Coturnix japonica: one gene and its partner. The protein of the gene in region 1 interacts with the protein of each later gene in a biochemical or structural test. Links are inferred from orthologs where the notes say so. Each region holds a gene or a part of one and is shown in the gene's direction. Other genes may lie near its edges. The genes, in order: CFH and PTX3.

Evidence for each region.
Region 2: the proteins of CFH (region 1) and PTX3 form a complex in vitro, tested with the Homo sapiens proteins (3 studies listed by IntAct, with this or other methods). The link is inferred for Coturnix japonica from reciprocal best matches to the Homo sapiens genes CFH and PTX3.

The regions. Positions count from the first base shown.
Region 1 is NC_029523.1:2,583,198-2,587,766, reverse strand, and holds the start of CFH (complement factor H), read left to right. Parts: upstream 1-1,482; 5' UTR 1,483-1,562; coding exon 1,563-1,656; intron 1,657-4,569. UniProt on the Homo sapiens protein: Glycoprotein that plays an essential role in maintaining a well-balanced immune response by modulating complement activation.
Region 2 is NC_029524.1:20,184,005-20,188,322, reverse strand, and holds the start of PTX3 (pentraxin-related protein PTX3), read left to right. Parts: upstream 1-1,346; 5' UTR 1,347-1,626; coding exon 1,627-1,774; intron 1,775-2,124; coding exon 2,125-2,664; intron 2,665-4,318.

The DNA.
Region 1 (4,569 bases):
TTTCAGTTTAAATGCATTTGCAGTAGGTTTATACTTGTCTTTTATGTGCTAGTTTTATCTTTCAGCTTAAATACGTTAACATTCACAGTGTTCATAGAGAGCAAGTGACAAATTTATAATATGTTTTCAATTTGGTTCCAGGTTCAGTTCAGATCTAGGTCAAAGTATCCTTGTCTGACTGTGGTTTGTACCCATAGTATTTTAGCTAGCAACCCAAAAACAGTTTGTTAAACTCGATCTTCTGTAAGTTTTGTGACATCAGAAGGTACAGTATAAAAACTGCAGAAATGACAGAACCTACACCTACATCATAGATTTTTACATGCAATAAGCATACTCAGTTTTAACCTACATCAGTAGGCTAACCAAGCCAGTGATCTTAAGGGTATCTTATGTGGTCTTTTGGGAGCATACAGAAGACAAACCTGTGCATCCACAACCTGTTCCTGTGCTCTGTTACCCTTACTGTGAAGAAGTTCCTTTGCATAACGGTGTGGAACTTCTATGCTCCAGTTTATGGCAGTTTCTCTTTGTCCTGCACCCACAAACTGAGTAAAAGAGGTTGGCCATGTCATCTTCATGGCCCTCCGCTGGACTCTCTCCAGAAGATCCTTGTCTCATACCAGATATTGTAACTGGATACAATACTCCAGGTGAGACCTGAACAGACCAGGGCAGAATAGAGAGGGAGGATCACCTCTTTTGACCTGATGGCCACTTTCCTTTTAATGCACCCCAGGATTCCATTGGTCTGCTGGCTCATTGCCAGCCTGTTATCCACCAGGACCTTCTCCACAGAGCTTCTCTCCAGCAGATCATGTCTCAGACTGTACAGACATTCGCAATTATTCCTTCCCAGCTGCAAGACTTTACACTTGTTAAACCTCATCTGGTTTACTGTTGCCTAGTTCTCCAGTCTGTCCAGGTCTTGCTGAAAGGCAGCACAGCCTTCAGCTGTGTCAGCCACTCCTTGCAGCTTTGTATCATTGGCATACTTACTGAGGGTGGATGCTATGTTCAAGATATTGAACAAAACCAGACACAGCACCGTCCCCCAGGGAACATCACTATTCACAGGTCTCCAACCAGACTCTGCATCACTGATCACAACACTCCAAGCTTGGCCAGTCGGCCAATGTTTTTCTGCTTTCTATTTCAGTTATTTTCAACAACGATCTTAAATTGATGTATGTGTAGAGAAGAAGCTTATTTTCACCTGCATTTAATGTGAATTTGATTGACAAAGCATAGAAGACACAGGCAATGATACATATACGTATATATTTGTACAACTTTTGGGCAGTAAAAGGAAGTTTATCAGAGCAGACTGCAGGGAGGGAAGGACAGTGTCAACCCACATTGTTATACATTTATTTATTTATTTAGCAAAGTTTGGAAAGCTAAAAAAAAAAAAAAAAGTGTGTGTTGCAAGAGAATTAGGGGAAGTGACTGCTGAAATCACTCAGTATAAATGGGGCAAGGTCAGTCCCTGGAGTCACTCAGTGAGTAAACTATGAGTGCGCATAACACAAAGTAATCGAAAAAGTTGGCTACAGCATTAAATGCACTTACTTCTGAGATCCTGGATCACTAGTATGCCTTTCCTGGGCTATGCAGCTCTCTTGTTATGTTGGACGTATTGTACTGCAGAGAGAGGTAAGCTTTAATCTGGAAAAAAGTGGCAAGAAAGTGTATGGAAAGACAGTTATGAAAACAATTGGTAAATAAATTGCTTGAATTGAAGCCTATTTTAATGAATTTCTGACAACGATAATTGACATTTCTTCTGGTTGCATTTAACACTTTCAGTATTTAGTATTTTCTTGTGGGTAGCATTTCATCTGTTTATCAGATAACTACTGCTATTACTAAACCATTGCACTTCTTTTTTTAATGTTTATTACCGCTGTAAACTATGGTTAGACAAATTATTTGTATTTTGCTTTGTTTGTTAATTATTCTAAAATATAGAACTTGGAAAAAGTTGGTAGGTTAAAATAAATGATATTCAATAAGTATGTATTTCTGTCTGTCCGAAACAGTCCGTGTGATAATCTGAGATAAAGAAGTTGTTACTGGATATACTGAAAGGCTTACAAAATAACTGTTCAATGACAGATTTGGTCTATGGTATTTTTCATCCACTGAATAAGATAAACGTATGCAGATACACTTTGGGACTTGCTTAAAGAGGTAGTTTGTATTCTGGGTATCTTTCCAGAAGGCTGCATTAATATTTTCTGCTTCACTGTTGAATTTATTTTCCTTGATAATGTACTCATATTGCTTAATATCCATTTAATAATCTGTTTTGCTTTGACTGCTTGTTTTCTTTTACAAAGACTAGGAAAAAGGCACCGTGTGATTTTGAGCTAGTATGTCTTAGCTGTGAGTTGTTTGAGAACTAGCTTGTTTCACAAGGGCTTGAGCACTTCTACCTGAATTTGCAGTTTGTGCTTGACTTTCTGGAAGCAAAATAATGGTGGGAAAGTAATTTGAGCTATTCCTAATCCTGATCCAGTCACAAGTGTTTAATAAATGATTAATTCCAGCTTTTCTGGTTTCCTACTGAAGTGTTTGGAGGAATGCATTTAAGCTGTATGTGCTAATATAAAAGTAAATAAATCCCAATTAACTTGTTGAGTACACAGATCAAAGTGCATGATGTAATTAATGTAATTTTGAAGTACATCTTGCCAGCTGATTTCTTTTTCTCAAACTATTAAGAAACCACATTAAAAAAGGAGTATTAATTAGCTGTAGTCAGAAATGCATATGCATACTGAAGCGCTTCACAGTAACGCTGTCACGTAGACTAATATCAGAGCAGTAGTAGAGAAGAACAATCAGAGAATTGAAATGAAATCCAGGGAGAAACATAATGTAATGGTGAAGAGACTGTCAGGAGTTCTTTCTTGTCTTGTTTTGTTTGTTTTTTAACGTGAACAATGAGGTGTAAAGAGTCCCCAGTCTGCACAACAGACAACAAAAGTATAAATCAGAAATAAGAGGAGAATACAATTTATTGTGGGTAACAAATGAAAAATAGGTTAATAGGTCAAATTACGGGGTATAAAACCTGGACAAATAAGTTGTTGTTGTTTTTTAACAAATGAGGTTGAAAGCAATAAATTTAGATGTCTAAGACCCATGTGCAATTTCTCTGAACCTTTTATAAACGGGATCTAAAAATGGTATATTGATTTGAATGTGAGATGACTGAGCTGTACATTTATTGTCTGAATAGTCTTGTGGTTGCTAGCAAGCAGATGCATGCATGGAAGAAAAGTTAGTCACGTGTATAAGTACATGTGTAATTATTAAGCTGTTCTTGAAATCATAGAATTTGGACTCTGTTTTCTCTACTTACAAACTGAAAGTATTGGCATGACCATGCTTAATGAGCTCTAATGAAAGATACACAGAACTGGAAAAATCCCTTGTTTCACCTCTGCAGATAATCTTTCTTGGGTAAAATAGAAACTTTTAACACATTTGCAAGATGGAGCCAACTGGAGGACTACTCTTCATTTAACTTATTTCTACTTTTTTTTTTTTTTTTTTTTTTAATTATTTTCCTTTCTCTTGGCCACGAGTGGGCACTGCCTTCGCTCCGGCTGCATGGAATGAGTGCAGTTTGAGTGGGGAAAAAAGGTATTCAAATGTGAATGTATCTTGCTAATGAAGTGGAAGTCCCCACCACATTTTTTGATAGCAGAGTACCCTCTAGTGGACAGAGCTGTCTTCTCAGAGTAATTGGTTGGAAGGAACATCATTGTTTTTAGAGTAACTGAAATAGCTGGGAAAATGATGAAGCTGTGGGAGGTCTGACACTTCCTTTATCACCTCAGCAGTGTCTCCAAAGCTCGCCTACCTCTCCCACCTACTTATGCCAGTCAAAAGAAAGTTATTAGATCTCACGGTGAGCATTCTTTTCTTCATACTTTCAAAATGCCGTAGCTGCAGAATTACACTTTTTTAAGGTTTTACCCTTTGATATAGAAGAATTAGGATTATTATTTTTTTCTGCTCAGTCTGTATTAGAAATCACATTACTTAATCTCTGTCTGCGATGGCCCTTCCATCCCCTTGCACGGAAAAATTTCCTAAATATTTTCCCTGTAGTGTCGCTTCCAGGCAGCACTTGGACTGTCAGCATTGCTGCTTTCTCAGACCTGTGGCCTTGCAACTAAACTAGTTGAGATTTTGGTTCCAGCTCTGTGCTTAGCAATGAATTGCATTCACCAAGAAACTTCCTTTCCTAGAGGCCATCTCTCATTTCTTTTCTAAGGTTTAATTTCTCAGAGATCGCTTTTCATCAGTTCTCACTTGTGATGTTCAGATGTAAATACGTCTGAATAGAATAAAATACATTGTAACTAATCAGCTACACTGTCCAGAGTCTGTTACTGTTGGTAAAGATTCAGTCTTTAAAGTAAATTCATTTCAATCACTTAGGCAGAGAGATTAAAACTAGGTGACTGTAATTAGGTTAATGATTACAAACACACACAAATATTTTTAACCTTCTTGACATGAAGTTGTTATGCTTCTTAACAGCTTACCATT
Region 2 (4,318 bases), on another chromosome or scaffold:
GAATAACATATGGAAAACATCTGCCCATTGCAATGTAGTATGGCTTCTTTTTGTGCATGCTTGTGAGTCCTTAAGGTCTCCTTGAATTTGGTTTCCAACAGGAACTAGCACTCTGGCCTGCTGCTTTTTCTCCCACTTAAACCCAAGCTCTGCAATTTTGCAAGAGAAGCAGCTCAGTTCCCAGGTGGGACCTATGTTTCAGACCTGACCGCACCACACTCGTGCCAGATATATGAAGAGCAACCCAAGCCTTGCAACACCACCTCTGAGCCAAGTAACTGAAATGCAATTCATTGCAGGCTCCAAAAGGATCCGGAGGTAGAGCCCTTCAGGAGTGCTCAGCCCTGGGACCACCTCTGCACTGCTCAGCAGCTCTCTGCATCTGACCCCCAAAGCATTTGTTCTGCTCCTAGAGCTGCTGGCTTCTCCCAGACCCCTGCATACAACTACTACAGCACTTAAGGGCAAGCTCCAGCCCTACCTCTGTCCCCAGGGCCATGGGGAATTCCTGCCCTGTTCCAGGAATGGAGCACAAAGCCAGCTGCAAATGAAGGAGATTTATTGATGGTTACCCCAGGCAGGTCAGTGAGCAGCTCAGTTCTGGCTGCTCTACCCACACCTTTGTGCCTGTCCCTCCCCGGTGCTACAGGTGAGACTGCACAATAGTTAAGGGGCACGAGAACTACTGCCTAACCATGGGATCAGTGCTTCTGTGTCACAGAGGTTCTTTTGAAGGTGCCTCTTTAATTTGTATATTCATCAAGGATTTTATTTTTTTCTTTTAATTAACCAGGAAAAGTAACCCAAACTAACCAAAAGTAACCCAAACTAACCAAAAGTAACCAGCAAAGCACCAATTCACCTGAAGTTCAAATCAACGTTTTCTGGATTCTCATCTGAGTCTGAAATTGGACAACCTGACTGTTAATAGACACAATTCCAATCCTGCAGCTGCTAACCTGTAGGCTTCAGAAGGAAGAAACTAGACAGAATACATTACCTGCAAGGACACAAAGCTGCTATTGCTAATTTGGGCTAGAAAAGTAAAAACCAAACAAGCTGTCTTTATTTTACAAGTTCTCCTTTCGAGCTCAAACTACTAGCAGAGGAGAAGATTCCAAATTAAAATCCCCCCAAAGCCACAGTATGTGGGTTACACCAGACACACGCATCCAAACCAGCTCCAGGTAGACACGTTTTCCTGCCAGCCCCCTCCGGAGCCGCAGCACATACCAGCAGCCAATGGAGTTTGCACAAAGAACACAGAACAGCCCAAGTGATGCGGCTCAGGCAGCAATCCCTGTCCCTGCTCCCAGCCCAGCATGTTGTGTATTTCTGGAACTCTGCTCCAGGGGAAGCAGCAGCGTGCGGAGCAGCTCTCCCCGACCCCCCCTCCTGCAGACCTGGGGGCTGACATTGAGCAAGCTGCACGCCCCCTGCTCCTCACTGCCAAAACCAACAACCAGAAGTGCTCCTATTACAGCGCTGGCACTCGCAGCGCTCATTCATTCAAGCTGAGACACTCGGAGCATTTATTAGGGGCTGCCCCGTGGCTCCTCGCAGTCCCCGCTGCAGTCCCACTCCAGCCCAGCCCCAGCCCGGCTATTTGCAGGAAGCAGCTGCAGAATGCTGCCTGGAGGAGTGCTTTCTCTGCTCATGCTGTTCTGTGTTTTCAGGGCTTCTGCTTCCGTGCTGGATGAAGATGACGACTACGATCTCATGTATGTGAATCTGGACAACGAAATTGAAGGTCCGGTCCTGGGCACTGAGGAATGTGAGTAGATACAGTCTACATTTCTGTTAAGCGCAGCACTGCGTTCTTTGTTGCTCAGCTCTTGTAACAGCCACAAGCATTATTTTAAGAGGAACCATGTGCTTGTAGCAGTAGGTTATTGCAGACGGCAATGCTCCGGTACTGGGATGGCGCTCCACAGTTTGCTGTGCACTACTTTTCTGTTTCCCTGCAGCAGACACCACTTGGTTTTAGGATTGCTGCACTGAGCACTGCTTTGCCTTCTGCTTTGAGACAGACACAAACGCAGGGGCAGGCTGAAGCCTTGCACAGAGGCAGGTTTTGGGAAACACACCTTCTGTTTAAACTTAAATCCGTGCCTTGCCTTCCAGCTGCCTCGTGTGACTGCCAGCGGGAGCACACGGAGTGGGACAAGCTCTTCATCATGCTGGAGAACTCACAGATGAAGGAGAACATGATGCTGCAGGCGCTGGAGGATGGGCTGAAGGAGGACGTGCAGGCAATCAGAGCAGAGTTGAGCCAACTCTCCGCTGGCCTCGCTGGCACCTTCAGCTCCGCGGTGCAGCAGCTCACCTCCCACGCCTTGGCCCAGCTGGAGCAGGCACTGCAGAGGAACAGAGACCAACCTGAGGATGCTGAGAGGCTCTGTGAGTTCAAGCAGGACAAGGTTCTGGAGCAGGTCCTGCAGCTGAGCCACAACGTGTCCACCAGGCTGGGCCAGCTGGAGAGCTCCTGGCTGAGATGGGCAGAGGGGGAGGCCCAAGAAACAGCTTTCCAGTTCCAGCAGGACAAGCTTGGCCCCAGCAGAGAGGACAACCTTCTCTTGAACACCTTATGGAAAGAGCTGCAGCAGACCAGAGCCGAACTGAAGGCATCTCAGAAGTGGGCTGCCCAGCACCTACTGCCAGCAGGTGAGTGCAGCGTGGGGCGTTTCCCAGAGGGTTCTTTGGGGGCACAAGCAAATGTCCTGTGAATGCTTTCCTCCTCGTAAGTCCCCAAAGCAGCCTTGTGGGCAGCCCTGAGGCTCTGAGCAGGCTGTAGATACAGGGAAGCAACTCAGCAGGCATTCTCGAGAAAGCAGTTCTGAGCTTCCCAAACATGGGATCAAAGAAAGATTTAATCAAAACCCTCACACAGGGCAAAGCAGCCACCCAGCCACCAACCCACCTCCAGCAGCTCTCCTAGATCCAAACAGCTGCCAAAGAGCAGCAAACATATTTCATGCAAAAAAAAAACTAGCCTTCCCTTCTACCTCCCCAGGTGGTGCACCCCCCACTCACTGAGCTCTCCTGTCCCCCTGCAGCATATTCCTGCTCCTTCCTCAGCCTCCTCCCCAGCTGAGAGGGCACTGCAGCAGGGCACAGACCAGCTGCCGACAGCCTGATACCCCTCCATTTACTTTTTTTCCTTCTGGATTATCAGTGTGCAAGTGAGGTGCCCATAGAACAATGAACTCACTGCTCAGATTTCCTTGGGGTCCTTGTGCTCTGTAACAAGACTCCCCACAGCAGCAATAGAGCAGGGTAATGCAGAGCAGAGCCCCAGCTGCAGAAAGCATGGGCACATACTGTTGTGTGCCCAGCAGAACTGTGCAGCTCTGCCAGCCTGGTGACTATGGCTGCGTATTTTCTCAGTGCGCCCACATCTTAAATAACTACACTGTACCACAAATAAAACTGCCCGTAGATTGAAAAACTAAGAAAATCCCCACAAACCTACACTCATATGGTCTTGCACGTGTGCCAACAGGAAGGAGGCATGCAGCCCCACCAGCACCGTCAGCGACCACTTAGCAATGCCATCAGCTCTCACACAGCTGAGCAAGAACTCAAAGCTGTATTTTAATGGGGAACATGAATTCAGTGTTATGCTTTCCCCCCTTTATTTGCTGCAGCATTTTAGTAAACTTGCATGTCCTGGGAGCAGACCTTCCAGCACATCCCTTACCCCCATCCCAAGCACATGGATCTTGCCTTCCAAAAGGCATGAGCTCATTCCTTATCTCCCCGCATAGCACAGCCAGCCTTGCACCATTTACTGTGCCCTGTAGGAGAGTCAAATCTTGATCAGCATTAGAGACCTCAGCCTCAGCACTGGAAACTCAGAGTATTTCCTCCAGTTGCAACATGATTTTATAGAGAGCATTCTTACTTTTTAATTCAAAATATACCTTTTAAGTAATTCCAGTGTATCTCTCTGCCTGGAATTTCTTTTTCAAGGGAATTTTTTGCAACTGACTTTAATCTTGAACTGCTGCCAGACGTGTCTTGAGGGATTTCCTAATCACACTTTTTGTTCTTCAGTGAGGCTGGATTTAATTTTGTTTAGCCCCTGATAACAAAGCCAGAAAGCCTGCTAACTAAAAGCTGCTTGGTGAAAGCATTCCTTCACAGCATCTTAAGGAGCATCCCCAGCAGCTGCCTCTCAGGTCTCCCAGAAAAAGAGAATCCCTAAACTATATGGGTTGGAAGGGACCTCTGCAGCCCCCAGAGCAGGTCTCCTGCAGGAGGTTATGCAGGAAAGCATCCAGGTGGGTTCTGAACCCTCCTCTGCAGATCCCACCAC